Tribolium castaneum: one gene and its partner. The protein of the gene in region 2 interacts with the protein of the main gene of each other region in a biochemical or structural test. Links are inferred from orthologs where the notes say so. Each region holds a gene or a part of one and is shown on either strand. Other genes may lie near its edges.

Region 1 (4,666 bases), on a different chromosome or scaffold from region 2:
AACAAGGTTGGTAACACTTTTGTTACCATATATTCAGGCGCCTTCGATCAAACAATCAAACAATTGAAGGAGATGACAAAATCTTACTTTTGGTGTCAAATTATGCAAAGCTTTGGCTGTCAATTCCCGAATGACGCAATCCCAGTGGTCGACTTTTCGGCCAACTAGATGGTCGATCATTGGGATGGTGTATTCGCCGAATTGGGCGATGTACGGACTTATGGTCAAGTAGGCGTTGTTTCGCACACTGACAGTGAAAAAGTCAGCAACTGTCAAAATGTCAATTCCGTACGGGAATGTTCCTTGACGTCCGACGTTTTCTTGAAAGGCGGCAGAGGCCGCTCGTCGACAATTGATCTGAAGTTTGGACCAATCACAAAGAAGATAACCCAAAAGTACAACTGCATTTTGTCAAAGTCAAAAACCCTCCGTTTTTGACACTAAACCGCGACTTTTTACATTGTCAAAACATGATAAATGCCAAAAAAAAAGACAAAATATGAAAGACTGAGCGGAAATTCATTGATTTTCAGTAATATAAAAGAAAAAAGCCGCTGTCACTATCAAAAACAGATGATAGCACCAGACAAGTGAGTGAGCGCAAAAAAAAGAAAAAAAAATAGTTTGATTTTCTATCATTGTCAAAACCACAGTACGATAAATTGATAGAATCCAGTAGCTTAGATCCTTACCTCTCTGTCGAAACAAGCGACGATCAACAAATTCGCAGCTATCTGATTAACAAAAGGTTTTAAAACATCCTTATCATAGGCCCTTGCAAAGGCCCAACACACATAACACGCTGCATCCCTTATATGTGATCCTACAGAGGAATATCCTCTCGGTTCATCATAGACCAACGCCTTAAGTACAACCGGTACCACCTCCGGTAACCGTTTCGGTAGCAACAAGCCCCTCCTCCCCAATTCAGCCAATGCCAAACAGCCGCCATGCCACGCCCCATCCCCCTCTCTCGGACTAAACAACTCCAAAACCGAACCGACCACTTCATCGGCCAGTTCTTGAGGTAACCGACCGGTTACCCGGCCTACTCCCTTTGCAGCCGACCATCGCACAATCCCATCACAACTCCTCAAACCGTTAATTAACTGGTCTATAACCTCCTCGACTTCATCAGGAACCTCAATATTATCTTCTGGGAGGGGTTCTTGCGTGTCGTGAGAGGAGGTGGTACCATCACCCCCACTTAAATTCGCAGCCAATGAACGATTGCCGCGTTTGTAGCGCCAAGCGGCCACTTTGGGAGGTAGAAACGTCAAACCTATTCTTTGGACGATTTTATAGACAAGTTTTTGGACGTTGGTACCGGAATTATGTTTTATTTCGTCACGGATTATCCATTGGAGGAGGGGACGGGCATGAGGGAGTAAATCGTCGCGTTTTCCGGTTTTCAAAATCATGGCGATTGAGGCTAAAGTTCCTTGTTTTGTGAAAATAGTACTCTCGGAGGAGGTACTTTCAACCATTGACCACTCGATGTAAGACAATAGGTGCTCCTGTTTGACGTCATTTCTAAAAACAGGGACGGCTGTGTCACAAGAAGCGCCATCTTGTGGCCAAACAAAGGGGAAAGTGACAGTTGGAAGACCAAATTTAGTTAAGTGTGACTTGTATTTTACGTATGATTAAAAAGATTAAAGGCAAAAAGTTATACGTTTGTCAAGAATTTTAGAATTTCTTAGATGAATAAAAAAGAACAAGAAAACTAGATAAAAATACAAAAAAACACAAAAAATCTTCATATTTCAGTCAGGATTCATAAACTATTTTAATATTTTGTAAAAAAATATAATATAGTACTTAGAGCCATAACCAGTTACATTATTTCCCAACTCGACAAAAACAGATTAAAAAACAGTAGCTAGAATAATCTGAAAAATTGCTTGGTTGGTATAAGAAGCCACAAATTTAATTTTCTTATAATTTAAATTCCAAAATTTAATTCTTTAGAACCCGATTTTTTTTCCAAATGAGATTTTAGAGTATTACAGACCTGGGCAATGTGTGATAGCTCCCAGGATTTCGTTCCAAAATATCAACCAAAACTGTTCGAAGAAATTCATCTCCTGGATTATATACTTTTTTTTGACAAAATCAATATTAAAATAAATTAAAACTGAGTTTTTTTAAGTGACAGAAAGCACTTTTGAAAAAGTGAGGTAGTGGTCGTAAACAAGCGCCATCTGTTTGTTAAGCAAAGCGTGAAAGGAGGCCTTAAGAGACAAAGGGCGGGAAATTTGAAAAAGTGAAGTTATAATTTTTTTCACTTACCTTGTGATAAAACGCGACGAGAGATAAGCCGCAGCGTCCCTGCACTTATCAGGAACCACAATATATTTCTTGATAATGTCCAAAACCCTACACATCACTGTTTTCTTCTCTTTCTCGCTTTCATCATTTGCATCAAATCGTGATAAGTGAAACGGAATCATGACAATTATTGATAACCACAACAATAGTACATATCTAGTGGTCCAAGTGATTGAATCATCACAGTCTTGTGATTCTAAAAGTCTTAAAACGGCTTCAAAATCTGAAACCTGAAATCTTCATTTAAAGCCTGCCTAGGGCCCCCCTACCTCATGTGGAAGATGCCTGACTATCACTTTGTACCCCCTCACGTTAACAAACACGAACATATACTTAAAAACTTCGTGTTTCAAGTCCATACTGGAGCCCCCATCTCGTACGATATTGATACATTTTTCCAAAAGGTGGTCAATATGGGGGTCCAGCAAGTGGGGCTGTTCTTTATACTGACCAATGATGAAGCTAAAACGCTCGTACGCCTTCTCATTGAGGGCTTTATCCGAATAAATGGATTTAAGGGTGTCTATCATTTCTGAAACTTCGGTCGCTTCGACGAACAATTCAAGGGCGCAGCCAAGACCGAAAGGCTCCTCTTCCATATCTGAAGGCTTGTTTTTTTCACTTGTTGACATGTTTTTGCGATAAAAAGGTCTTTTGTTTACAGATGTCACGAAAAATTAGAAATTGTGAGGTTAAGTTTCGACTACTGTTTTACTGGTTGCAGGACAATGGGCGCATGTTGCTAGCAAAACCTGGATTTTTTTTTTAATTATTTATTCAAAGCACAATTAAAAGACACTTTTTTTGTACATTTTGTTTCTGTGTATTTTGTGGCTAAAAATACTGTTTTTTTATGTTTGGAACTTAGAAAAAATGATTGTTAAATGAGGGCAATAAAATATTAACATTTTTTTTCAACGCTTGAAAGAATCCGTTAATTATTTAGCGAGTTTATGAGTTACTTAATTAAAGGGTGATCTCTCACCTTATCAAATTTTAATTTCGTTTGTTTTTCTTCATTGTTTGACGTTATAATTACTATATCCGAAATTAGAAAGCTATTTTTTAGCTGAGAGGATTTGTGAATTGGACGGAAATAATTCAAAGTTTTATCTCCACAAGGCTTAAAAATTAGAGTAATCACGGAACTTAATTAAAACGGAACAGTGTTTGCTCTTGTTGACGCAATATGTAAAAGTTTTTCTAATTATTAATTTAGTATTTAGATTTCCAAGGAAATATGTTTAAGGACAGTTTAAAAAATATGTGTAAGCCATTGAGGAAAAAATGTAGAATATTTCCAGTTTTTCACATTTTAATGCTTACATTTATTCATTAGTCAGTTTTAATTTAGGCTGTATCTAAGCTAAATTCAGAATATCTTGTAGTTTTAGCAAATAAACGACTTTTAGTTAAAGCATGTAGATAATATACAGAGTGCTAAAACGCAAAAAGTTAAATAACTAATTTTTTTCAAAGGGAACAACCTGTATTTTTTTCATGTATTGATAGCATTTTTGATAAGTTTTCTAACGGTATGCAGTTTGCATAGCAAATTTAAAATATTTCTCGAGATTTTTGAAAAAAAAAGATTTTTTTACAAGAAAATTTGTTATCTTAGAATCTGATAAGTCAAATGGTAATTTATTTTTTATATGTACTAATGTGACTAATTACATTAGCAAACTAATTATTACCTGATATATAAATGAATTTTGCTGATCAAGAATTTATAATAAAATAAATAAAAAAATAAAAAAAACACTAAGAAATGTTTCAAATTTGTTGAACAAACCGCATATCATTAGAAAGCTTATAAAAAAGCTATTCATACGTATAAAAAATTAATGGTGTTCAATTTGAAAAAAAAATGAGTTATCCAACTTTTTGCGTTTTGGCACACCTGTACATTATCTAAATGTTTCAAGTAAAAGTCGACTATTACTAAAACTATAGGGTATTCTGAGTTTTTCCGTTGCAAATTTTTCGAAAAATATTTATAGCCGATTTCGCAATGATTTTAAAAAAAATTTTTTTTTATAACGAAAAGTTGAATAATTTTGAAACGAACAAAGATAGACCCATAATAGTTTCTATAAAGTTACATTATTTTTTTACGTAGATTCCAATTATGCAAAAAAATATTGAGTGTTCGATTTAAAAAAAATGTAACTTTGATTCACCACTCTGTATACAACACCATGTGTACAATAAAAAAAATTTTGGTTTGTGGACTTTAAGTCGATCTATCGGAAAGTGAAAACGATATAGCAATATTACAAATAATAAAAAACCCTGGGTGACCCTGGGTCACCCTCTATTTTTTTTAAATAAT
Region 2 (3,125 bases):
ACTGCTTCCACCCTTGGACCCAGTTCTAGCGTCCCCGGTTTGGGCAACGATTTATTACTACGAGAAGGGGTCGCGAATTGGGGACGCGTTTCCTTGCCAAGGACTCTCCGCTTGGGTGCATTGCTTACAAGGAGGACCGCAGCGAAACGACAGGTTTAATTTGTTCGAGAAGGAAAATGCGGGACGCGAGTGGACGGTGAAAAATACAAGGCAGCAGATTGGGAGAGGGATTACTCTGCACTATGTTAAGGGGCAGATTTACGTGCAGTTGTGGTCCGATTCGGATCTCTACGTCAATTCGCGGTTTTACAATCGGCTTAAAAACTACCCGGGTGGTACTATTTGTAAGTTGTCGCCGTTTCGGTGCAGACACATGAAACTGTTCCGTGATGACGAATTTCACGAAATGTTATCTGCGGAGGTGGCAAAGGGTTGGGAGGCTGTTTACAGCTTAGCTAAAGTGTGCACCGTTCGAATCAGTTTTGTGGAGGGTTGGGGTAACGAAGTTGGGGGGATTACTGAGAAGCCTTGTTGGCTTGAAGTGCGCTTTCTGCGACATCTGGAGTGGACCCAAAGGACTTTGACGCAAATGGGGGCGCCATACAAACTACACTATTAATATTTTATGTCTTTTTTATTAAATATATTGTACAAAAGATAAATATTTTGATACAGAATAAATTAATCCAAAGTGAAAATTCTTGCTGCAATATCGTCAATTAACCAATCCATTCCTTTCAAAAGATTTTCGCCCGTAACAGCGCTACATCTCGCTATTTGCCAATGGTGGGTTTTGATTTGATCCAGTCCGAGAATTTCACGCAACTCTTCAGGGGTGCAAGCCCCTGGAAGGTCTTGTTTGTTTGCAAAAACTAGAAGAGTCGCGCCAGCTAATCTCTGAAAAAAAAGTAGTACGAACATGTTTCATACAAATTTATGTACCTCTTCTTGAAGTAAAGTGTGTAACTCAGCTTTACAGTCCTCAAGACGTCTTTTATCAGCACTGTCCACCACCCAAATAAGACCATCTGTGCATTCAAAGTAATTTCTCCAGTAGGAGCGTAGTGATTTCTGACCCCCGACATCCCACAAATTTAAAGTAAAACTAAAACACTTTATTTTGAAAATTCGGAGTGTGAATAGCAGACCTACCCTCTGTGTTCCAAGGTTTTGATATTGAACCCCAAAGTAGGTGAAATCGTATCAATTGGTTCCCCGTTAAACCTTTTCAAAATTGTCGTTTTCCCAGCGTTATCTAAGCCTCTAAATTATAAAATTAAGAAAAACAGTGAGATGTTTTGCACAAAAAATGAGTTTTTTGAGGTTAGATCTGGACGATAAAAGGATACAGCATCAAAATTCGCATTTCTTTTTCTTTTTGCTTCATTTTCTTTAAAACTGTGAGAAAACCCATTTTGTATTAAAAATTATTAGACACAATAAAAAAATTCGAAGACTTATTATTTTATGACGTTTGAGATTTTCGACATCTGACAGAAACGTCACATTACCGCCAGAACGTATGTTGTAATTTTACACACGAGTTTTGGTGATTGCCTACATAAGTTTGTTGTTCAACTACAGTAAAACCCCGTTTATTCGCAAAAAAGTTGCCACATCTGAAGCGAACAAGAAAAAACACCAATCATAATTCGAAGTGACTCTTTGTTAAAAAAAAGAATAATAAAAATGATTTGATATTAAAACCTTTTCAAAAAAGATAAACAAATAAACTTGTAATACAATCATTAAAAAATACAAAAATGTGCTTCTTTCTATCATTTTTGAAAGCCATCCTGCGTGGACGTTGTGCATACACTGTAGGTACTTTGAGCAAAAAATTGGCTCGTTTATCAGGCAAAACTATTTTGTTTTAAAAAAAATTACCTGGTGGTAATAGATCAAAATATTTACATAATACGACTAATTCGTATAATGAACAAAAGTCGCTTAATTTTTTTACCACGATTTGTTATCTTTATAAATTTTGTAAATAATCAAATCTCGAACATTCATTCGTATGATGCAATTTGTTTTATAAAAGCCTGAAGTGTTTTTTTTTCTGAATCATGTGTTTCAATTTTGATTGACTCTTTTATTTAAACGAAGTCTAACAGCTTCTTAGCTATGATCGTGCTTAAACTATAGGTTGCTTAAACTAATTGTTGTCAAAAGAGCTAAATTTTTATGTTAGATATGTATACTTGCTTCAAAAAATGATTTCGCAAAATACTATTATCTAAAATTATTGTTGGAAATTTCATTTATTCCATAACTGTATTTTTAGGATTATCCAGTAAACGAATCTAAACCCGCCCCTGCAGATAATGCTGATGTACTGAAAGTATCTTGAGCAGATTACACAATTATTATTTGACTGATTAAGTACTCAATCTTGAATAATAAAACAATACAAAAATGTGATTCTTGATTGATTAGCAAAATATTTTCCTGAAAAGATAAGAAACAAAAAAGTAATTTTGTAAATTACCTACTTTTAGTGTTTTTAAATAAAGGTTTGGTGTGTCGGGTTTTTTAAACTTTGTTTTATTTACTTTTAGTGAAAATAAGACAATAATTTTCGTAGATGTTTTGTATAGGTTTCAAACTCGGTTTTAAATTAAACTAAGTGCTTTAACTAGTCTCTTGTAATTGCTGGATTTTGAATAACAATCCCATAGTTTTAACAAACAACTACCTATTACCCAATTAACTCGTCTACCTAATCTCCTCCACTTCGTAAAAAATTCCATTACTAAAGACCATAGCCACTATCTAGATGCATTTTTAACAACTTTTTCGATAACACACCCATTTAAAACTGCATCCAGACAAGTCGCCCATCTAGTCCAACAATGGCCACCCTCACAAAAATATTTGCTTTTATCTTAACCAGCTGTTTTATCCTAAGTGTGGCGTTAGCCAACGCTCCAATTTCACGCTCATCGCGAAGAAGTAAATCTCATTCGGACAGAATCCTCGATGATTGATATTCTCAATTTCAGTCCACATCCCATTTTTGGGCCTGGGCCCACGCTGCACTGGATGTCCTCCGCATTACTGTGACGACGACCCGGCCATCATTCACGGCTATTGTTGCGGATGTGCCAGATTTTTTGGTAAGT

The links. The genes of interacting proteins can lie anywhere in the genome.
Region 1: the proteins of Arl2 (region 2) and Tbcd form a complex in vitro, tested with the Homo sapiens proteins (2 studies listed by BioGRID and IntAct). The link is inferred for Tribolium castaneum from reciprocal best matches to the Homo sapiens genes ARL2 and TBCD.

The regions. Positions count from the first base shown.
Region 1 is NC_087400.1:8,034,165-8,038,830, forward strand, and holds the start of Tbcd (tubulin-specific chaperone D), read right to left. Parts: upstream 3,043-4,666; 5' UTR 2,964-3,042; coding exon 2,601-2,963; intron 2,562-2,600; coding exon 2,293-2,561; intron 1,534-2,292; coding exon 693-1,533; intron 358-692; coding exon 88-357; intron 42-87; coding exon 1-41.
Region 2 is NC_087396.1:14,850,516-14,853,640, reverse strand, and holds Arl2 (ADP-ribosylation factor-like protein 2), read right to left. Parts: upstream 1,512-3,125; 5' UTR 1,415-1,511; coding exon 1,350-1,414; intron 1,264-1,349; coding exon 1,153-1,263; intron 1,106-1,152; coding exon 943-1,105; intron 898-942; coding exon 682-897; 3' UTR 620-681; downstream 1-619. Other genes in the region: protein mothers against dpp, read left to right, coding at 1-619; uncharacterized protein LOC103313727, read left to right, coding at 2,856-2,955, 3,006-3,119. UniProt on the Homo sapiens protein: Small GTP-binding protein which cycles between an inactive GDP-bound and an active GTP-bound form, and the rate of cycling is regulated by guanine nucleotide exchange factors (GEF) and GTPase-activating proteins (GAP).